Sus scrofa: one gene and its partners. The protein of the gene in region 4 binds, or shares a complex with, the protein of the main gene of each other region. Links are inferred from orthologs where the notes say so. Each region holds a gene or a part of one and is shown on either strand. Other genes may lie near its edges.

Evidence for each region.
Region 1: MED13 (region 4) and MED20 share a complex: the UniProt entries of both Homo sapiens proteins name them as parts of the mediator complex. The link is inferred for Sus scrofa from reciprocal best matches to the Homo sapiens genes MED13 and MED20.
Region 2: MED13 (region 4) and MED16 share a complex: the UniProt entries of both Homo sapiens proteins name them as parts of the mediator complex. The link is inferred for Sus scrofa from reciprocal best matches to the Homo sapiens genes MED13 and MED16.
Region 3: the proteins of MED13 (region 4) and MED12 are in contact, whole or in part, in a cryo-EM structure (PDB 8TQC), measured with the Homo sapiens proteins. The link is inferred for Sus scrofa from reciprocal best matches to the Homo sapiens genes MED13 and MED12. Residues at the interface, in NP_005112.2 of Homo sapiens: Ser157, Glu158, Thr336, Val337, Pro339, Gln340, Ser341, Gln343, Lys344, Trp345, Lys347, Phe348, Asp1186, Ile1189, Leu1190, Gln1193, Asp1194, Pro1332, Ile1333, Thr1335, Leu1337, Tyr1340, Asp1341, Tyr1342, Asp1343, Tyr1344, Leu1345, Val1346, Leu1347, Ser1348; in NP_005111.2 of Homo sapiens: Ala3, Phe4, Arg12, Pro13, Arg16, Leu86, Thr123, Thr127, Thr150, Pro152, Val153, Met154, Arg155, Phe242, Pro278, Leu281, Arg282, Arg356, Pro357, Phe360, Gly361, Cys364, Gln367, Thr368, Cys372, Pro407, Glu408, Phe413, Val417, Lys1526.
Region 5: the proteins of MED13 (region 4) and CDK8 are in contact, whole or in part, in a cryo-EM structure (PDB 8TQC), measured with the Homo sapiens proteins. The link is inferred for Sus scrofa from reciprocal best matches to the Homo sapiens genes MED13 and CDK8. Residues at the interface, in NP_005112.2 of Homo sapiens: Thr1616, Met1617, Asp1618, Arg1619, Lys1621, Val1622, Gly1623, Ile1624, Pro1625, Thr1626, Asp1627, Gly1628, Asp1629, Ser1630, Val1732, Lys1733, Thr1734, Leu1735, Thr1736, Gly1737, Phe1738; in NP_001251.1 of Homo sapiens: Leu9, Glu12, Arg13, Arg71, Lys74, His75, Pro76, Leu81, Gln82, Lys83, Val84, Tyr133, Asp137, His140, Tyr141, Met330, Gln331, Phe335, Leu336, Leu340, Pro341, Thr342, Ser343, Asp344.

What each region holds. Positions count from the first base shown.
Region 1 is NC_010449.5:37,071,351-37,075,546, forward strand, and holds the start of MED20 (mediator of RNA polymerase II transcription subunit 20), read right to left. Parts: upstream 2,801-4,196; 5' UTR 2,671-2,800; coding exon 2,657-2,670; intron 1-2,656. UniProt on the Homo sapiens protein: Component of the Mediator complex, a coactivator involved in the regulated transcription of nearly all RNA polymerase II-dependent genes.
Region 2 is NC_010444.4:77,489,583-77,493,758, reverse strand, and holds the start of MED16 (mediator of RNA polymerase II transcription subunit 16), read right to left. Parts: upstream 2,807-4,176; 5' UTR 2,663-2,806; intron 1,278-2,662; 5' UTR 1,233-1,277; coding exon 1,100-1,232; intron 541-1,099; coding exon 433-540; intron 175-432; coding exon 5-174; intron 1-4. UniProt on the Homo sapiens protein: Component of the Mediator complex, a coactivator involved in the regulated transcription of nearly all RNA polymerase II-dependent genes.
Region 3 is NC_010461.5:57,153,879-57,157,389, reverse strand, and holds part of MED12 (mediator of RNA polymerase II transcription subunit 12), read right to left. Parts: coding exon 3,322-3,511; intron 2,957-3,321; coding exon 2,810-2,956; intron 2,652-2,809; coding exon 2,552-2,651; intron 2,427-2,551; coding exon 2,290-2,426; intron 2,069-2,289; coding exon 1,937-2,068; intron 1,353-1,936; coding exon 1,226-1,352; intron 772-1,225; coding exon 542-771; intron 1-541. UniProt on the Homo sapiens protein: Component of the Mediator complex, a coactivator involved in the regulated transcription of nearly all RNA polymerase II-dependent genes.
Region 4 is NC_010454.4:36,332,607-36,336,549, reverse strand, and holds the start of MED13 (mediator of RNA polymerase II transcription subunit 13), read right to left. Parts: upstream 2,810-3,943; 5' UTR 2,670-2,809; coding exon 2,604-2,669; intron 770-2,603; coding exon 535-769; intron 1-534. UniProt on the Homo sapiens protein: Component of the Mediator complex, a coactivator involved in the regulated transcription of nearly all RNA polymerase II-dependent genes.
Region 5 is NC_010453.5:4,155,440-4,158,730, reverse strand, and holds part of CDK8 (cyclin-dependent kinase 8), read right to left. Parts: intron 1,936-3,291; coding exon 1,838-1,935; intron 776-1,837; coding exon 697-775; intron 573-696; coding exon 414-572; intron 1-413.

The DNA of each region.
Region 1 (4,196 bases), on a different chromosome or scaffold from region 4:
AAGTGGCTAGGAACTGGTGTACCGGACAGTGACATAGAACATTTTCATCAATGAAGAAAGTTCTAAGGATCCTTGGATCAAAGAGAAAGCAAGCCTCAAGTTTCTAATCTTTGAGAGTGAGAGGCAACAAGAATTTAGCCAAAACAATGAGATAAAAAGTTATTTCCAAGATTTCCTTCTATGGAGAGTGCAACTGGCTTCTACTTTAAGTGGTAGGTAATAATTACCAAGCACCAACTATGAGCCAGGCAGTGCCCAAAGCCTTTAGATGAATTAACTTGCATCAGCCCTATAAGACACAGCATAATCATTTCTTCATTACAAATGAGAAAACTACTGAACAGAGAGGTTGAGTAACTGGCACAAGGTCATACTGCTTAATGCAGTGTAGTCAAGTGAGGTGGCTCCGTGTCCATGCTCTTAAATGCTCCACCGAAAGCTTTCCAAGTTCCCACTGTGGTTAAGGATCAGCATTGTCTCTGTGACGGCATGGGTTTGATACTGCCCTGGGGCAGTGGGTTAAGGAACTGACATTCCCACATTTGTGGCACAGCTTACAGCTGTGACTCAGATTCAGTCCCTGGCCTGGGAACTTCCATATGCCTCGAGTGCAGCTGAAAGAGGAAAAAAAAAAAAAAGAATGCTTTCCTAAGGATACAGTTGTCTGTTAAAATACTTATAAGGAAAAAAACAGAATCAAAAGAAAGCATTAGGAGTTCCTGTCGTGGCGCAGTGGTTAACGAATCCGACTAGGAACCATGAGGTTGTGGGTTCGATCCCTGCCCTTGCTCAGTGGGTTAAGGATCCTGTGTTGCCGTGAGCTGTGGCGTAGGCCAGCGGCTACAGATCTGATTAGACCCCTAGCCTGGGAACCTCCATATGCTGCGGGAGCGGCCCAAGAAATGGCAAAAAGAAAAAAAAAATTAAAAAAAAATAAATAGTTCAAGTGCTATGAAGTTATATAAAAATCATAAAGACAATCATTATGTGGCTGAATTTTGGGAGGTACTGCATTACTTTATGACCAATTATGATCAACTAAAGGAAAATATAAAAACAGACCCCTGCTGTTGCTACAAATTGTCAGTAATCTCCATCAGGAAGAGCACTAACAAGCCACAATGATGATGGCCTTTATTTTGAAAAATAAGAGAATCCCTTAGATGATACAACTGGGGTCCAAAGTACTAGGAATCTGAAAAGTCGAGAAGGGTCCCAACAGAGGGCCTTTTCCCTCTGTCTGCCTTCTGCACTGAAGGAACAGGGGCTTCGGAGTTCTGCTCGTGGCTCAGCGGGTTAAGAATGTGACCAGTATCCATGAGGATATGGGTTCGATCACCTAGCCTCGCTCAGTGGGTTAAGGATCTGGCGGTGCCATGAGCTGTAGTGTAGGTTGCAGATGCAGCTCGGATCTGGCATTGCTGTGGCACAGGCTGGCAGCCACAGCTCTGATTCAACCTCTAGCCTGGGAACTTCCATGTGACACAGGAACGGCCCTAAAAAGAAAAAAAGAAGAAGAAAAAAAAAAAGCTGTAGGAACAGCCCTAAAAAGAAAAAAAGAAAAAAGAAAACAAAAACAAAAACAAAAACAACAACAGGGGCCTCACAGCAGAAACTGACACAATGTTGTAAATCAACTATATTTTAATTTAAAAAAGAAAAGAAAAAAACAACAGGGGCTTCCAGGATTCCATGCCTCTGCGGAGGAAACTTTTCATCTCCATTCTTCACATCCTCCTTACACTAAAAGACTTCCAAAGAGGCTCATGATGTCAACTGCAGGAAGCAAATGTGCAGTCACTGACAAGTGTGCAAGACTTGGGTGACTGGGAGGAAGAATTCCCACAGGCTCTTTTCTTATATGAAGACTCTATAGCCACTGACTCCTGATACCCTGGCCTCTAGCCCTCTCTGATTGGAAAGATGCTCCAGATACCTTTTTTTTTTTTTTTCTTTTAAGCCCTGAAATCTAGCATTTTGGAACTAATGCCTCCAAGAGCATGAGGCCCATATTTCCCTGCACTCTGACTCATAACACGTTACAGATATTAAGTCCACAGAAACTAAACCAAGCATGTAATTAAACATAGTAGGAAACAGGTTCTGAGGAGGTGATGTGCCTAACATCCCAATCTCCTAACTCCCAATAGCTTCTTTTTTTCCCCCTCTAGACCCGAGATCTTAAAATGGCCAAATTAGAACTAGACACAGGCTGGTCTAACTGCATTTAGTGGCCATAGGGAAGGGCAAAAACCTAAAAAAGATACTGCCTTCAATGTTGTCTATCTCCCTCCCCACAACCCATCCAACCTTGACTGCAGATGGGTCCTAAACCCGACATACTATTTCCGACCCCAGGCAGTACTGTGGGATGACGAGCAGGAAGAATATACCAAGAAAAACGGAAGGAGGTACGCGACCACTGGTGGATTCTTAAGATAAAAATTTTTAACCTGCCACCTTTGAGAAAGAAGGGGCGCATCTCCGAGGAAAAAGGCCCGCAGATTTCGCAGCCCTCACAGTGGTCCCCTCACCCACACAACTCGAGGGCATCTCTCTCAGACCCTGATCCCGATCCTCCTCTCGGGGACACTGGAGGCTCCACCGGCCCTTCACCACCCCAAGCTTCGCCCCACGAAATCCCTTGAAGTCCTACCAAGTCACTCCCATGATGTTAGGCCAGGAAGATGACAGTACTGAACAGCTGATACGCAGTGCTCTGCTGCAGCCCACGCGAGGTGAAACCACCGACCTAACGAAAGCTTCGGTAGTAGGAGGTGCTCCGGAAATAACGTAAAAAGTGCGAGTCCCTTCGGCGGCCACGAGGAACGGGGCGTACAGGCGCCTCCAGTGACGTCACTGCAGGGCTCCGCCCCCTAGGCTTGCAGCTCGGGGACTTCCTATTCGACAAATCACCCCGGGCCTAGATTCATGAAGCTAAGAAAGCGTGGCTTGGACTGCCACTGCTTAGAGAAGGCGATGTTAATTGCAATGAGTTTATTCGGGAGTCCAGCTCCAGGACTCAGGAGCTCTATCAGGGGGTGGGGCGGGGATGGTGGCAGGTCCGGCCTCCGAACACCAGGGGGCGCTGTAATCACCGTCTGGCCTCTGGGGAGTTCCCTGCGCCGGCGCACTCAGAGCTTTTCCTCTGTCCCCACATGTGAAACTTCCCGGCGAGGTTTTCTAGCGAAATGCCCAAACTCAAGGCCGCCCGCGGGGCCGAGGGTCAGGAAAAGCATGCGCCCCTGGCCGACCAAATCCTGGCTGGGAATGCGGTGCGGGCGGGGACCCGGGAAAAGCGGCGGGGTCGCGGAACCGGAGAAGAGGAGGAGGAGTACGTGGGGCCTCGGCTGACCCGACGGATTTTGCAACAAGCGCGGCAGCAGCAAGAGGAGCTCGAGGCTGAGCATGGGACCGGGGACAGGCCGGCGGCACCTCAAGATCGCACCACGCGGCTGGGTGAGTAGCGAGAGTGGGTGCGAGAAAGAGGATGGGTAGTTGGTAGTGGTAGGCTGAAAAGTGTCCGGCAGGATAATAGTTTGGAATTAAAAAAAAAAAAAAAAACCCAGGGGGGCGTATTACACTCTAGCAAAGGTAATGGAATGGGAGACCCAGCCCTGGCCGGATTTAGGGTGGCTGGAGACCTTCACCTAAAAGTTGAGAGTTAAGTTTTATTTGGAGCAAAATTAGGACCTAGGCCCGGGAGACAGAATCTCAGGTAGCACGGAGGAAACCGGTGCGAGGAGGGGAGCTAGGATATGAGGCAGGTAGTGTTGCCAAAACTCTGTCTCTGTCCTCCGATGCCCAGTTGAAGCACAGAGACAGGGTTTTGGGTGAAGAAGAAAAAGATATCTCTATTGCTCTGCCAAAGGAGGGCCAGAGCAGGTTAGTGCCCTAAAGACTATGGTCCCCTTGAGAGAGATTAGGAGATGGTTTTACAGTGTAAGAGTGGAAAATAGAGCCGCAGTTAAGGACCAGGGTCGAGGCAAACTTGCACGGTTTCTCACGCTCCTGTTTAGTGGCCCCAGGACTGGTTCTGGTGGTCCTCCTTTTTTCCACTGAAGAATGCTTCATACTTCATCAAGTAATAGTTCTGCAGAAGGGCTCAAAGATACTATGTATATTCCTTGAGGAGGAATCTGGACCTGCCCCAAGGTTGCACTATTGTCTCTGTTTTTTGTTTTTTTTTTTTTTTG
Region 2 (4,176 bases), on a different chromosome or scaffold from region 4:
CCACCTTTTCCACGTGCAGGGCCAGCTTCACACCATTGTGCAGCCAGGACAAGGCCACGATGGGGTCCCCCTCCACCAGGCTGCCCACTGGGCTCTCCCAGCTGTTGGCCAGGTGGTCTGCCATGGTCCAGCACTTGATCTGCCCATCAGCATCGGCCGACAGCAGCCGGGAGCCTGCAGGGGAAGAGGGGGGCAAGCCTGTGTCACAAAGCACCCCCCCCAGTACATCTGGGGCCTGGGATGGGAGACAAGCAGGGGCATGGCACACATGTCTCCCAGGAACGACTCTGGTCACCAAAAATGGGAGGAGAAGGAGCCGAAAAGCCACAAGGCCAGGGCTTTCATCCTAGTTCTGGACAGTGGGGACATGACCAGGAAAAGACAGAACAAGTAAGCTTGGGATTTGAGATCAAGGGTGAGCCCCACCCTCACCTGACTGGTCCCACTCGAGGCAGGTGATGGCCTCGCTGTGCTCCGAGTTGATGGAGTGCACGTCCCAGGGGTGCTCCGTATCCAGGATGTGGATCATGCGGGTCAGGTCTGCAAAGGAGGGCCAGGTCAGCGGCAACAATGGCAGGGCCTCGAGTGCCTGATGACCCCAGGGGTAATGGGAGCAGGTCCATGACTCTGCCTCCAGAGAGGCTACAACCACTTTCAAAAGAGACATAGAAAATGGAACTGGAAAAAAACAAACCCAAAATGCTAACAGAGAGTGGCTCTCTGGGGAAGGTAATGCCTTTTTTTCTTCCCCTCATCCAAAATGTCTGTGTTTTTCTCCTTTCCTCTAGGAGCATGTGTCATTCAACAATAGCGAGAACACAGGCCCAGCAGGCAGGCTGCAGCTCAGAGGCTTTCAGAAGCCAAGCAGTGACATATAAGGTCTGGAAAACTCAGGCAGGAGCCTCAGCAGGGGCTGGGGACCACCCTCATCTGGACAGGTCCATCCCCTGGGGGTGATTCCAGTGCCCCCTGGTGCCAGGTGCCCTCTGGGCCCTCACCACCCCTCATCACACATGAGGGAACCCTGAGAGACTGGACAGGCCTGGAGGTCCATGGGCACTGGGGCACGAGCCCATGCGGGGGGCAGGAGGGGGCGCACCCTGGTCGTCGTTTCGGAGATCCGTGGTAAAGGCGATGAGGTTGCGGCAGGACCAGGCACAGGCCAGGGGCACCGAAGGGCAGTGCGTGCTCTTGGGCCATTTCTCCCACTCACAGACGTACGCCAGGTCCATGGTGCCCGGCTGCCAAGGTCATACACAGAGGGCGGTCACCAGCTTCTGAGGGAGGGAGGACCAGTTTGTCACAGACGTTCATGCAGGGCCTCAGGGCCCAGAGCGCAGTGCTGGATGGTGGGTCACTGCAGGGACCCAAAGACTCAATCCCTGCTCTGTGTATGTCAGGGGAGCTATATCTGACACATGGATGGCCAGGGAGGCCTCCCAGCGTAGAAGTGAGGGATCCAGGAATGCAGCCTGGAGGAAGGATATCCCAGGCAGGGGGAACAGCCAGTGCAAAGGCCCAGAAGCTGGACCAAGCCCAGGGTCATCAAGGAGCGGCAGGGGGCCCATGTTGCTGGAACTGAGTGAGAGGAAGGGAGGGGTAAAGTGAGGGTGGGGTGGGTCATGCAGGGCCTGCGCTTTCACCCTGAGTGAGGTGGGAGCCCCAGGGGAGCTGAGACCTTCTTATGTTTCACACACCCCTCTGGCTGTCTGGAGAGAAAGGCTTAGGGACAGGGTGGGGGTGACCATGCCAGTCCAGGTGAACAATGATGGGGACCATGAAGCAGTGAGGAGAGGTGGGACTGCTCTATCCTTAGAGAAGCCTTTGGCAGAGGCAAGGAGGCAGGATGGGGGGCAGGCAGCAGCTTGGTGCAGCACTTCAAAGGTAACAACCGCAACGGAAACAATGAACATTTCCACCTGCTGTCTATGTGCCGGGCATTGATTACGGTTATTTTCACCGTTACCAGAACCCAATGAGACTGTATGACCAACCCATCTTTCTCAATCACTTCCCCCAGGCCTCCCGCTTCCTCAAGCCTTGGCCAGGAACCCCAAGGCCCTGCCCAGAGGCCCCTTCAGCAGTCTTTAAGCTCTGCCCTCAAAGCTCTCCAGCCCCGCCCCCTACAATATTTGCTTTCCAGACCCCAGTCCCAATTTGCCCCTTGTGTTCCCAGGGATAGCTTAAATTTGTTCTCTCCCCAGGGTCTCCCAAACAACTCGCCTCCCTATAACCACCTCCAAATTCCCAACCCTCCAAGTCCCGCCTCTTTTTGCCACTTCAGGCTCCACCCCAGGGACCACTACCCAATAGCCAGGTGCTGGTCTCCAGTGGCCGCCTTCCAGCCCACCAGAATCCCCAGGCCCCTCCCCAGGAAAATACAGCCTTAGACCTCCCAACCCCTGATCAGGTTCCAGGCCCAGCCCCGATTTTCCCCAGCTCGGAGTGCCCGGATTCCCAGACGCCTCAGACTTTCCCCCAAGTTTCCGTCGCGACCCCCCCCCCCCGCCCAACGTGCTCCCGGGCGCGTACCCAGCACCCCTTGCTCTCCAGGCCCGCCCTCTAACCCTACAGGCCCCGCCCCCGGCCCGCTAGTCGCCGCCGCGGCCGTAGGCACCGTCCTGAGGCCGGCCCAACGCCCAAGTCCCCAGTCCCCGCTCACCGGGACGGCCTGTTCTCCCAGCCGAGCGGACGGCCACGGCCTGCACTCCACCTATCGGCGCGGCTACGGCACCGCCATCTTCCCCGGATCAACGAGTCGCCCACGTAGCGCGGCCGTTTCCCGGAGACTTCTGGGACAGCAGCGGCTCCGGCCCCGCCCCACTACCGATATAATTTGCATACATACATTGATAGTTTCCCAACAGCCACCCGAATTATATTTCGTGAAAGAACACTTTCTCAACTTCAGTGAGTAGCCTCATTCTGTTAAGCTATTGTTGCACTGATATCAGAAAAGAAGAGACAAGTTACTGAGTATTTTTCTTCTAAACGGAATTCACCCTTAGCGTAAAGTATTTTATACTCCGCCCTATAAATAGCGGTCGGGTTAACCCCGGTGTCGTGCTCGCTTCGGCAGCACATATACTAAAATTGGAACGATACAGAGAAGATTAGCATGGCCCCTGCGCAAGGATGACACGCAAATTCGTGAAGCGTTCCATATTTTGCTTTTCCTTGCTTCTTTTCCCCGTAAGCAAGACGGCTTAACCAGTCGTGGGCTTCTCTGGATTCACTCGTCTCCCGCTATCAAAAGCTGGTTCTTTTTCTGTCGGGCTCTCCCCAGTTGGGAAAGTCTTTTCTAGGAAGACCTCCTGATATTTCGGGGAAGGTGTACTGGGCTGCAGTTAGCGCCTGGGCAAAGGTATGGGGGCCGGGCTCAGGGAATCGGAGTGGGAAGAAAACAGCCAGCTAGGGGCAGCCGCAGGACCGAGTCTGTGTGTCAGTGCAGGAGGCCTGTGGAGTCCCCTAGAGCCACCACACCCGCGCCCTGAAGTCCAGACTGGCCTCCAGGCACCAGAAATTCGGTCCCCTTCACAGGTGGGAGCCTCCAAGCTGGTTAATCCAGTATCTCCTGATGTCCTCTGAGCCATTTGGATTTCCATTATTTAGCATCTGTGTTTAAAACTTTTTAAAATGCCTGTTAAAATGGAACTCAGCACACTTAGCACCCAGTTCTTGGTTTCTAAACGTTGCCCCAGTGAAAGGAACTGGGCTCCTGGGCGAAATGCCTGGTTCTAGAAGGCAGCACAAATATGCAGAGGAGCCCGGTGCTCAAATAAATAAATACCCCGCCTCAGTGAGACAGGAATCACTGAAAGAGCTCCCAGTATCCAAACCTGGAACAATCTGAGCAACAAAATGAAAGGATATTGTGTTGTAACCCAAACAAGAAAGCGAATGTCCAGGCGTCTGTACTGATATAAACAGTTAAATAAATAAATACACAGGGGGAAAGAGACAAATGTCACCTGCAGGATTCCCAGTAATTGAGGCAGATAATCCATCTTCAGGGAAATGGAGATCAGGGTGAGGTTCAACAGTGAGGAGCCCTGTGGACAGCAGGGACCCCTGATTGGGGCCAGGTGAGAAGGGCAATCAGGATAAAAGCAGATAACCCAGGGTGACACAATTTAAAGACACTGGTAGGAGGCCGCATAAAGATGTAGGCAGAGG
Region 3 (3,511 bases), on a different chromosome or scaffold from region 4:
TTACTTTTTTTATTTTATGATTTTTATTTTTTCCATTACAGTTGATTTACTCATTCAGCTTTAAAATGAGAATAACAGGAGTTCCCGTTGTAGCTCAGCAGTAACAAACCCAGCTAGTATCCATAAGGATGCAGGTTCGATCCCTGGCCTTGCTTGGTGGGTTAAGGATCCAGTGTTGCCATGAGCTGTGGTGTAGGTCACAGACGCAGCTTGGATCCCGTGGTGCTGTGGCTGTGGCCTAGGCCAGCAGCTGTAGCTCTGATTTGACCCCTAGCCTGGGAACCTCCGTATGCTTTGGGTGTGGCCCTAAAAAAAAAAAAGACAAAAAAATGATAACAATACCTCAACGAGGCAGTTGTGAGGATCAAATAATAATAATAATAATAATAAAATGATGTGAGAGTGCTTGGTAAATAAACTATGAAGCGCTAAGCAAATCCTACCCTCATCACTGGGTAAAGGATCCTCAGATTACTTCAGGAGCCAGGAAGAGGGGACTGTACAGGAAGAAACAATCTAGGGTGAGGAAAAGCCAGCTCACCTCCAGCTTGCTGCTGCTGCTGCCCTCAGCCTCCTTGCGCTCAGGGTCATCAGCAGGGTCATCAAAGGGAGAGGGAGGCCGGGGACCAGGGGCTCCAAAGGCAAGGTCCCCTCGGGAGATGAGGGTGCAAGTGTACATGTTGTGGGAGAAAACATCGTGTCGAATCAGTTCACAGAAGAGCAGTACCAAGTTAAAGAATTCCACCCGCTCACTCTCACTTCGGGGGTCCGCTGGAGGGAGGGAATGAGAAAAGATGAGTAAGGGAGCATGGAAGACATGGGCAGAAAGCGAGAGGGACACATCTAAGGTAAGATGCTCCTAGGGTACCTGAAATAGGCAGGAATAGGAATGACTCAAAACCCCCCAACGCCCCCCAAACTGTTGAGGGACAAAGTATGCTTGGTTATCCTACCTCCTGCCCCCCCATCTAATAAAGGAACACAGCATTTCTGCTATTTATACATGAAAACGCTCCGATCCTAAGCACTTGTTTTTATTCTACTCTTTATTTCTCTACTCTGTTAAACTGTAAGATGATCAAAGACTAGAATTATGTCCAAAGACATTCTGCATAGAGCTCAAGCTAAGATTATATCTCAGAAGGCCTTTCATTATGCTTTCTGATGACAGGGGTGGGTAAGGGAGTCTAGGCAGAGGTAACCAGAAAGTAGCAGGGGTCCATACTCAGCATGGGAGCCTGTGTGTCCAGAAACTGCAGGAGGACATCCTGGAAAATGGGAGCACTGGGTGCAGAAAGGGAGCCAGAGGCAATGGAACCCTTCTCATCTGCGGCTTCTGATTCTCCACAACGCTATAAAATGAGAGGACAAACCATAGGGCTGGGTTTTATCTGTTTCTTCACTCATCCACGTACAATCCTTGAACAACTGCCTATCTCCACGTCCCCCTGTTGACTCCCATTTTCTTTTCTTTCTTTGTTTTTAGTCTTTTTAGGGCTACACCTGTGGCATATGGAGGTTTCCAGGCTAGGCATCTAATCGGAGCTGTAGCCGCCAGCCCACACCACAGCCACAGCAACGCAGGATCCAAGCCGTGTCTGTGACCCACACCACAGCTCACGGCAACGCCAGATTCTTAACCCACTGAGTGAGGCCAGGGATGGAACCCAAGTCCTCATGGACACGAGTCGGGTGCCTTAGCACTGAGCCACGATGAGAACTCCTTGACTCCTATTTTCTTTAGCGCCTCCAACTGCAGCCTTGATCACTTCTCTAACTCTGACACTGATCCACTCATTTCTATTTTTGCCTCATGTCCTCCACTTTCCCTGTACGTTCTCTAACCACTTCTTACTCTCACACCTTCAACATTGGTCCCACTATCAGCTCAATCTGGCTCCAGGCCCAGCTGCCACTCCCTGCCGGGCCCCCTAACCTCAGCCTCGATCTCTGCCTGTCTCTTCTCCAGCAGCTTGGCTACCACCATAGCGCGATGCCGACCAGAACGCTTGCAGCTGACAGCCCATTCACACAGTAATGATACCACAGCATCATCATCTGAGGAGATCTGGAGACCAAAGGAAGACGGAGGTGAGTAAGGCAGAGTTGGGGACAAAAAACTGAGTTCCAATTTCCCAGCGATTGGGCCCCATCTTAAAACATTCTAGGCCCAGTAAGACCATCTGTCTCTTCAGACATCCTCTAGTTTTAGTGCCTCACCCCTCCTTCCCGTCAAATGTACTGGTGCTCTTGCTGTTTTTCCCTCCTCTTCCCCGTCTTGCTTATTACCTCGTGTCCATCCTTGCTGGGCCCCAATCCAAAAATTCGGTTACAGAGGGAGTCAAGAGAGTTGCTGAAGTCAGAGCGCTCAAAACTATGGCTGTCCAGCACTTCCAAAGTATGGAGCACCCGTCCAATGGTGAAGCCTAAAGAGGAAAAGCGGTAAAGGGGACTTAACCAGAGGCTTACTCTGACTCTCAGATCTATATGTCATTACCATCCCCACCCTTTCCTCAAACACCCTTCTTACTGCCTGTCCTCTGGCACCCACCTGCAGTAGCTTCCTGGCACTTATCAAAAGACCAGCGAACCTCAACGGCCTGTCCTCGCTCCTTGATCTGCTGCTCGATCTCCCGCAACTTTGCACGGACCTGCCAAAAGGAAGGTTTTAAGGATGGAGCAAAGCATACAAAAAGGCTAGGGCTCCAGGCTAAAAGCATAGTAGTAGGCTCCAAGTCACTAGTTCTGAAAGAGTAACTTCAGCCTCTATATCCAAACCTGCGGTAAGCAGGCTACTGGTCCAACTTACCTGCTGAGTGAAGGCACTGTTGCCCTCTGGCATGGGCAGGTTGGAGGGGGCAATAGGCAGGTGATCGAGTGGTGAGCCAGTCTTGATTCGGCTATCAGTCAGCGAGTAGTGCCAAACCAGGGCACTAGGACAACACAGGAGGATGGTCTGCCAGACAGGAACAGCTAAGTCAAACTCGGTTACCATGGCTACCTTTCCAGAAGCCCATCATAAGACCCAATGCTTCGATTTCCAATCCAAAGTTATTCTGAGTCCCTAGGGTGGCATCACTCCATCTCTGAGCCCCTCCCCTCATCCACTCTCCTCCAAAGGCTTTGGGCCTACTATGTAGACCTGGAAGGGAACTACCTGAAAAGGAACTATCGCCCCATGAATGAGCAGCCAACAATTTCCAAGCAAGTACTCAGTGCCTACTCTCACCTCCAATTTAGAATCCCCCTATTTTCCAGGACAGGCACCTAATTCTTCTCAAGAGGTCTCTTAATACTTCCATAGGCCCACCGAGTACCTACCTGAAGGATACAGCTGAGGCCAAAAACCAGGGGTCGGTGCTGAGGACACATAAGCAGGTCACTAAAGGGTGTAGAGGGTGTGCTGCTAGTTGGGGGCTGAGGAGCAGGGGTGGTGGGTAGTGTGCTTGTTGACTGAGCAGACATCACATGAGACGAGTGACTGCTCACACCATCCAGCTGCAGGGCCAGT
Region 4 (3,943 bases):
CCTTTCCAAGGATAACAAAATTAACAAATGCCTTCATATGTTAATTTTTTAAGAATTGCAAATTTAAAAAATTACTATATGCCTAAAAAAAAATATGAGAAAATTACAACACTTCTAGATACTTCTACAACGGTCTGCATATTCATACAGAAGAAAGCAGTGGCAGAAATGACTCAAAGATGAATTAAACTTGGCTTCAAAAGTATTTTATGACTTTGTTAGGTAATGTTCCCCTGGTTACATTTTTAGGGTAATTAATGTAGCATGCCTTCCTTAGGCCCTGTCTGCCAAAAATTCATGAGAAAGCTAAAAAGAATAAAGAATAAAGTTTTTAAAGCCTTAAAAAGCCTGCCATAATAAGCATAATTCTGAGTAAAATAAAATAACCAGTGAAATGAAACATGAAGCTGAAATTTTATCTGGTTTCATACCCAACAATGTTCCACCCCCCCTCAATCTTAATTTGTAATACAAACGTTTTTGGGAAGAGTATACATGGCTACATCATTAGTTAGAAATGTAAGTTGCTTTCACCTGACAAGTCATGGTGAATAAGGTCAGCAAAATTGGGGTCTTCACCCCACCAAAATATCCACAATTCTCTTCTTCCAGGTCTTTGATCTCGCCGCCAAACACCAAGCACATCTGCCTTAAGGCAGCGACTAAAACTGCTCAAAATGGGGTCTTCCTCTGTCACCGGAAACAGAATAGGGGCAGAAGTTGGGCCTTGCCATACATATCTTTTCCACTTAATTCCCGTCAAGTCAGCCTGAAGAAAACAAAGTATGATTTTTTTATTAGGGCATATTCACTCAAAATCAAAAGCACTTGCTTTAAAGTCTCTTCATTAAGTCATTACAATTTTTAATGTATGCTCAGGATATCGAAAGCAGATTGACCCCAAAAATGTTTATTAGTTCTGATAATTCAATAACCAAAAATCAAAGGAAAAGAACAAAAACAATTTAAAAATTAACACTGACATGTCACTAAATAACAAGTCAATAAATGTGTCCCAAGGAGAAATAAAAGAAGCTTAATATTAAACATAAACATGTACTTTAACATTGCACACTGAGTAAACATTTGCTCTCTGTCCTAACTTCTGTTCTGACTGGTTACATTTGTTCCTTGGTGACAAACTTATAACAGAAAATTAATTTTTAAAGACTCATCATTCCATGTTTATAGAAGTCATGGCTCTAACGAAAAGAAACCTGAACTACAACTGAAAAAAAAATCTTGTTAAATCTTTACATATTCCTTTTAGGAAAAGTCAAATAGCTGCTGACAAAGAACCGTCAGATTTGTGCTAGTCTTATCTTCAAAGAACCTGATCCTAAAAGTACCAAAAATAGACTGAGTTGGAGAAGACAGAAATGTAAAACCCGCTGTCTTCTTACAGCTCAAGAGATGCAAATTAATGGACACTGTACAAGAAAACATTTTATTTTTTAGATAAAAATTAAAGATCTCAGTTTAGCATCGTGAAAAGAAATTCATTAGAGCGAACTTGTAATTCTGAATCTAACTTAAAGGTGCAAAGCGCAAGGTGCCAAAAATGAAACTGCTGATACATGACTGGCAGTTTACACTGGCCAACTAGTTGTGCTCCGCCCACTCAATTCACTTACCTATCACACACTCTCTTAATATTTCTCATAGGATAGGGAAAATGAAAAAAGAAAGTCACCTAAACTTTAAATCACTGATGAAGCTAAGTTACTATCCAATTGAAAACTAAATATTTGCAACAGTTGGTACTTTTGAAAGTCTTTATTGGATGTTCCCAGATCTGGGCCAACGTACACAATTATCATCCCTAAATCTAGCTTTCCCTGACTTTCCAATAAAAAAAGGAACAGCCCCCTCAAAATATGCTAAAAACGAAGGCAAATTAGACAAATACAAAAATATTTAGTGCAAAACCACAGCACCTCCTCCTCTGGTTCGCTCCACTCTCACAAACATAATGTTCTAATAAAAGCAAAATGGCTAAAAATTGTCAAAATGGCAAGTTGTTTTCAAAGTTTGAAGAAAAAACATATGAAATGGCATCTACTCCTTTTTACACAGAGCCTGAAGTCGCGCAAGGAAGAAACCAACCCCCCTATATAGTTTGACTCACAATAAAAAATGGACAACGAAAAGAGTGCTTAAGTTCCGGGGTCCGCTTTTTGGGGGGAAACCAGATGAGCAGAGTGAGACAGAAGGAGAACGGGCAATAATGGGTAAGTGTGAAGAAGGGATACACGGTCCATGAGGAGGAGAGCAACAGTTAAGCAAGAAACAGAGGGAAAGGCTAGTGTCCTGCCGGATAAGGAGCCCAAGTTAAAGACCAGACTACCAGAGGAGGGGGAAAAAGAGTCAGAAACGAGAAAAAGGGCCGACACTCGAAACACAGCGCCCGGGACCGCCGGAGAGGACCGCGGCCGCCGGGCTGGTGCCGAGCTGGCCGCCGCGCCGGCTCCGGCTCCGGCTGGGCCTAGCCCGGGGACTCCGGCATCTGGAACCGACCCGGACCCCCTCCCCCACGGCCCAAGGGCGCACCTCGCGGCCCCTCCCCCAACGCCCGCTCGCCGTGGCCCCCGCCCCGCACTCACCAGGCAGAAGAGGTTACAGTGACAATCTTCCAGGCTGGCCCCGTTCGGCACGAAGGAGGAACTCATCGTCCCTCACAGCAGCCGTCGCCGGCGCCACAACCCACCATCCGCCATTACCGCCGCCTCCGACCAGAGAGAGAAACACAGACACCGGGGAGGGCGGGGGGGTGGTGGTTGGGGGGCGGTGGAAGAGGAGGCCGCCGGGCCGCCCGCCCTCCCCACCCACCCCCCCGCCGCCGCGAGCAGTCCCCGCCGCCCGGCCGGCACCCAGCCGCCCGGGGCCGAGAGCCGGAGGCGGGAGGGCCGCGCCGCGCTCGCCCCGCGGGCCGGACTGCGGCCGCCGCGGAGCCCGCGGACGCCCGTCCCTCTCGGGGACAGAGGGGATGTGTGCCCCTGCCACAAGAAAATATAATAAATTACACAATAAATAATTAAAATCGAGTCCGAGAGGGCAGATCCCAGGCCCTGGAGGGCTCTCCCGGGCGGGGAGGCGCCCGCAGAGGGGCGGGAAGGGCGAGAACCGGGAGAGAAGCCCAGGCCCCCGACCCGGCAGCGGCGATGTCCTTAAGCCCAGAGTCTCCTCAGTGGCGGAGGTGGTGGCGGCGTCTGCGGGCTCAGACCATTCTCTGGCTGTGTCTTCGTGTCGTCCCTGGGCCAAGCCGGCCTAACGTCCGCTCTCCTGCGGCCTCACCGCCGGGACGCCGTAGTCTCCCCCATTTTGTGGGCCCAGCGGGCGGTGTTTTTCCCCCTTTAATCCGAATTCACGGGTTTTCCCTTCGCTTTAATGGCGGCCACAGGGACCAGCTCGCCCTCTCTGCTCGCCCATTGGCCGCCTGGAGGTCACGTGCGCCCGGGCTCCGTGGGGAGGGGGAGAGAGAAGGGAGCGAAGGAGAGCCGGGAAGCTTTCAGCAGAGGCGGTGAGCCCAGGGGGACTGGGCAGCCAGCTGGTGGCTACTAAGATAGCGCCATCTGCTGGGTGCCCCGGCCACCGTGAGATGACCCAGGGCCCTGGCCCTATCTTACTTCTTCCCGGGGAATTTACAGGGTTCACATAACAAATCTGGGAATTACGTTGAAATCCGTTTGAATTCCTTAGAAGTGTTGCAAAAATTCCTAGATCTTCTCCTTTATTCTACAAGGCCACTGGGGTGCAGCGCAAACCCGTGGGCCTGGGAGTTAGATCTGCGATAGGACTCAGCCGCTTGAAAGTTGTGATATTACGAACGAAACGTAAATGAAACAATATAGTCATGCGGCTAACAGCCTGGGAGTTAGAGCCCCACTGCTTGGGTTTGAAGCTTGAGAGAATCACTTACCTCTCTGTCTCAGTTTCCTCATCT
Region 5 (3,291 bases), on a different chromosome or scaffold from region 4:
TCCTACCAACGCGGGAGCCGAGGGCCCCAGCCTCCCACTCAAGGCTGCCCACAGGCCTAACCGCGTCCCTAGCTGCCGTGGTTTCAGACGACAGACGGCACTTCCTGGGCACCTCCTGGACGCTGGGCGCTGAGGCCCACCCGCCCCCACGTGGCTTCCCGCGGCTCGTGCTCCGGAGGAGACGCCAAAGCCAGGCCCTGTCTAGGACCTGACCGAGGCCACCGGGTTAACAGGGGCGCCGTTCGGTCCGACCGTTCCACGCCTGGCTAAGCCTCCTCGACAGAACCGCCTGGCGCTTTGCAGGCCAGCAACCCCCCAGGCCAACGTCTCCCGAGCAGCAGAGGCTGGCGCTGTGCTCCTGCCGCCGCGGCCCCGGGGCCACCACCCCCATGCAGGGCTGCGGGCGGCCGTACCTGATAGTCTGAGGTCATGATGAGTCCGCCTGAGGTAGTGGTAGGAGGAACAACCCGCACTTTCTTCAACGGGGGGCCCTGCGTGTGGCTGCTGTCCTGGTTCCCGGGGTGGCCAGTCCCATTAGTGTGGTTATTGCCCTGCTGCTGCTGCTGGTTCTTCTCAATTTGGTGAAACGGAAAGAGAGAGAGCAACTCAGAGGGGAGCAAACCGCGGCCGCGGCCGCAGAAGGCAGGCGGCACCCCAGCAGAAACGCACGAAGCCGCCCCGCACCCTGACACTTACTTTGTCTCCTTTGTCCTCGGGCTCTTCCTCCGTTAAAAACTCTCTTTTAGGGTACGGGATCTGACAACCGGCAAAAACGCTGACCCAGGAAAGAGAAGAGACAACAACGATTTCCGGCGCGCTGATCAGCGTCTCAAACGCGCTTTCACCGTTCAGACAGCCTCCGCCTCCCTGCCGGTGCAGCCGCGAGGCAGTGCGTGTCTTCTCCCAACCAGTGACTGAACAAAAGCACCGGCACCCCCAGGCACCATCCAAAGGGCCTCGGCTCTCCTTTATGTCGGCACTGCTCCTTCAGCACCACAACCAAGGCAGAGATCGCAGCTGGAATGTCATGACTCAACAAAACTGCATTCTACCCTCCAGACTGCATCCAAAATGCACGAAATGGGAGATCCCACCGTGGCTCGGTGGTTAACCACCCCGACTAGGATCCATGAGGACACGGGTTCAATCCCCGGCCTCGCTCAGTGGGTTAAGGATCTGGCGTTGCTGTGAGCTGTGGTGTAGGTTGCAGATGTGGCTCGGATCCCATGTTGCTGTGGCTGTGGTGCAGGCTGGCAGCTACAGCTCCGACTGGACCCCTAGCCTGGGAACTTCCGTATGCTGCAGGTGCGGCCCTAGAAAAGGCAAAAAGACGGAAAAAAAAAAAAAAAAAAAGAAGGAATGTATGGGGACCACACACTTCTTTGGGGTGGGGCTTGCAACTGGGACACAGAACTAAGTGCAAGCAGTGCGCCGGCTCAGAGCCCCAGGGAGTGCCAGTGCGTGGGAGCAGCCCGCCCTCGACTACCGCCGCCACCGGCCGCGGGCAGCAAGCAGGGCAGCAGCGTCTCTCCGCTGTAAAAGCCTGACGGCTCTCAGTCACCAGCTCGTTTTCTGCTTGTCATAAGGATTTCTTTGAGTCCCCGAACAAGAGCAGCAGCAACCTGGCATTGACAGCTAAAAAAAAGCACGCACCAAGAGCTAGCTCCCTGGCGGCACAGTGGGCTGAGGATGCAGTGCCCGCGCTGCTGTGGCATGGGTTTGAGCCTGGGCCCAGGAATTTTCATATGCCACAGAAGTGGCTTTAAAAAAGAAAAAAAAAAAAAGCACGCACCAAAAAATTCTATTGTGCTGGTGAGTTAATAAACTGATCACTTACTCTGATGTAGGAAGTGGGTCTTCTAAGAAATAGGGATCCTGCATAGCCTGTTCTGAGGTAATTCGCTTTATTGGGTCCATGGTAAGCAATTTCTGAAGCTGAAACCATAAATCATAAAAACATCACTGCATTACTTCTCAAAGTTTTACCTTTTGGCACATTTGTGGGAGGTACACGGTTTTTGATCAATAACACCACAGTTCAGAGGGTTTCATTCCCCCCAGTTAAAAACTAAAAACCTTTCAATTTCATGTAGTCATTCACACGAGTCATTTTAATAATCATCAGCTCACCCGGTTCTCCTATAAGAAGTAACTAAACATACGTCTTCTTACTCTCAACCAAGACCTTTTTCCTACACCATCTGAACTGCCACGTCCAATTTAGAACAGGACCAAAATGCCTGTGTTTTCTACTAAGGGGAAAACATTATACCCCAAAGAATAAACTAGCTACATGTGGCTATTTAGAGTTAAAACCAAATTAATTAAAACCAAGTTAAATTTAAAAAGTCAATTTTTCAGAGTTCCCATGTGGCGCAGTGGAAACAAACCCAACTAGTAGCCATAAGGACACAGGTTCAATCCCTGGCCTTGCTCAGTGGGTGAAGGATCCGGCGTTGCCGTGAGCTGTGGTGTAGGTCGCAGACGCAGCTCGGATCCCGAGATGATGTGGCTGTGGTGGAGGCCGGCGGCTACAGCTCTTATTCAACCCCTAGCCTGGGAACTTCCATAAGCCGCAGTTGTGGCCCTAGAAAAAAATTTTTTTCTTAATTAAAAAAAAAAAAAAAAAGTCAATTTCTCAGTCATATCAGGTGTATTTCCAGAGCTCAGCGGCTACCCTCCCAACAGCACGGCTCTCAGACAGCCATCTCTGGCACTGCCGCCCGGGGCTATGTAAACACGGCACCCGGTACAGAACCTGTGCAGCAAGGCCAGGTGCTATCGGCGGGGACTCTGCAGAGACGCTGCTTGGCCTCAAATCCTGACCTGACATTTATGAGTCGGGTGACTGTGAACAAATTACTTAAGCCCTCTGTAACCCCATTTGCCAAATGGAGCTTAGAAACAGTACCTTTTATCATGTTTCTTTTCAGAATGACGAAAAGCAATTACAGTGGTGCCAGGCGTGGGGAACGCGCTCTCTAGGTGTTGGTATTATTACTGTTGTTGTAATGAGATACCGAAAGGTGAAACTAATGTCAAAATTCAGCACTTTTTCGTTGAAATATGAGGGACTGAGGATTCTAGGAACGAGAGCCTTTAACGTGTGACTTAAGAGGCCCTCTAACAGGTGCGCCCTCAGCCCACCACCTCTGGCCTAACACGCAGCACTTTCAGACTTGAAGCACATCGGAGGCGTCCCCGGAGCACTTCCTAGTGACTCCGGAGCTGCTGAGCAGCACATCTGGGCAGGAGCCAAGCACCTGCACTTGCAGCGTTGCCCAGGTGACT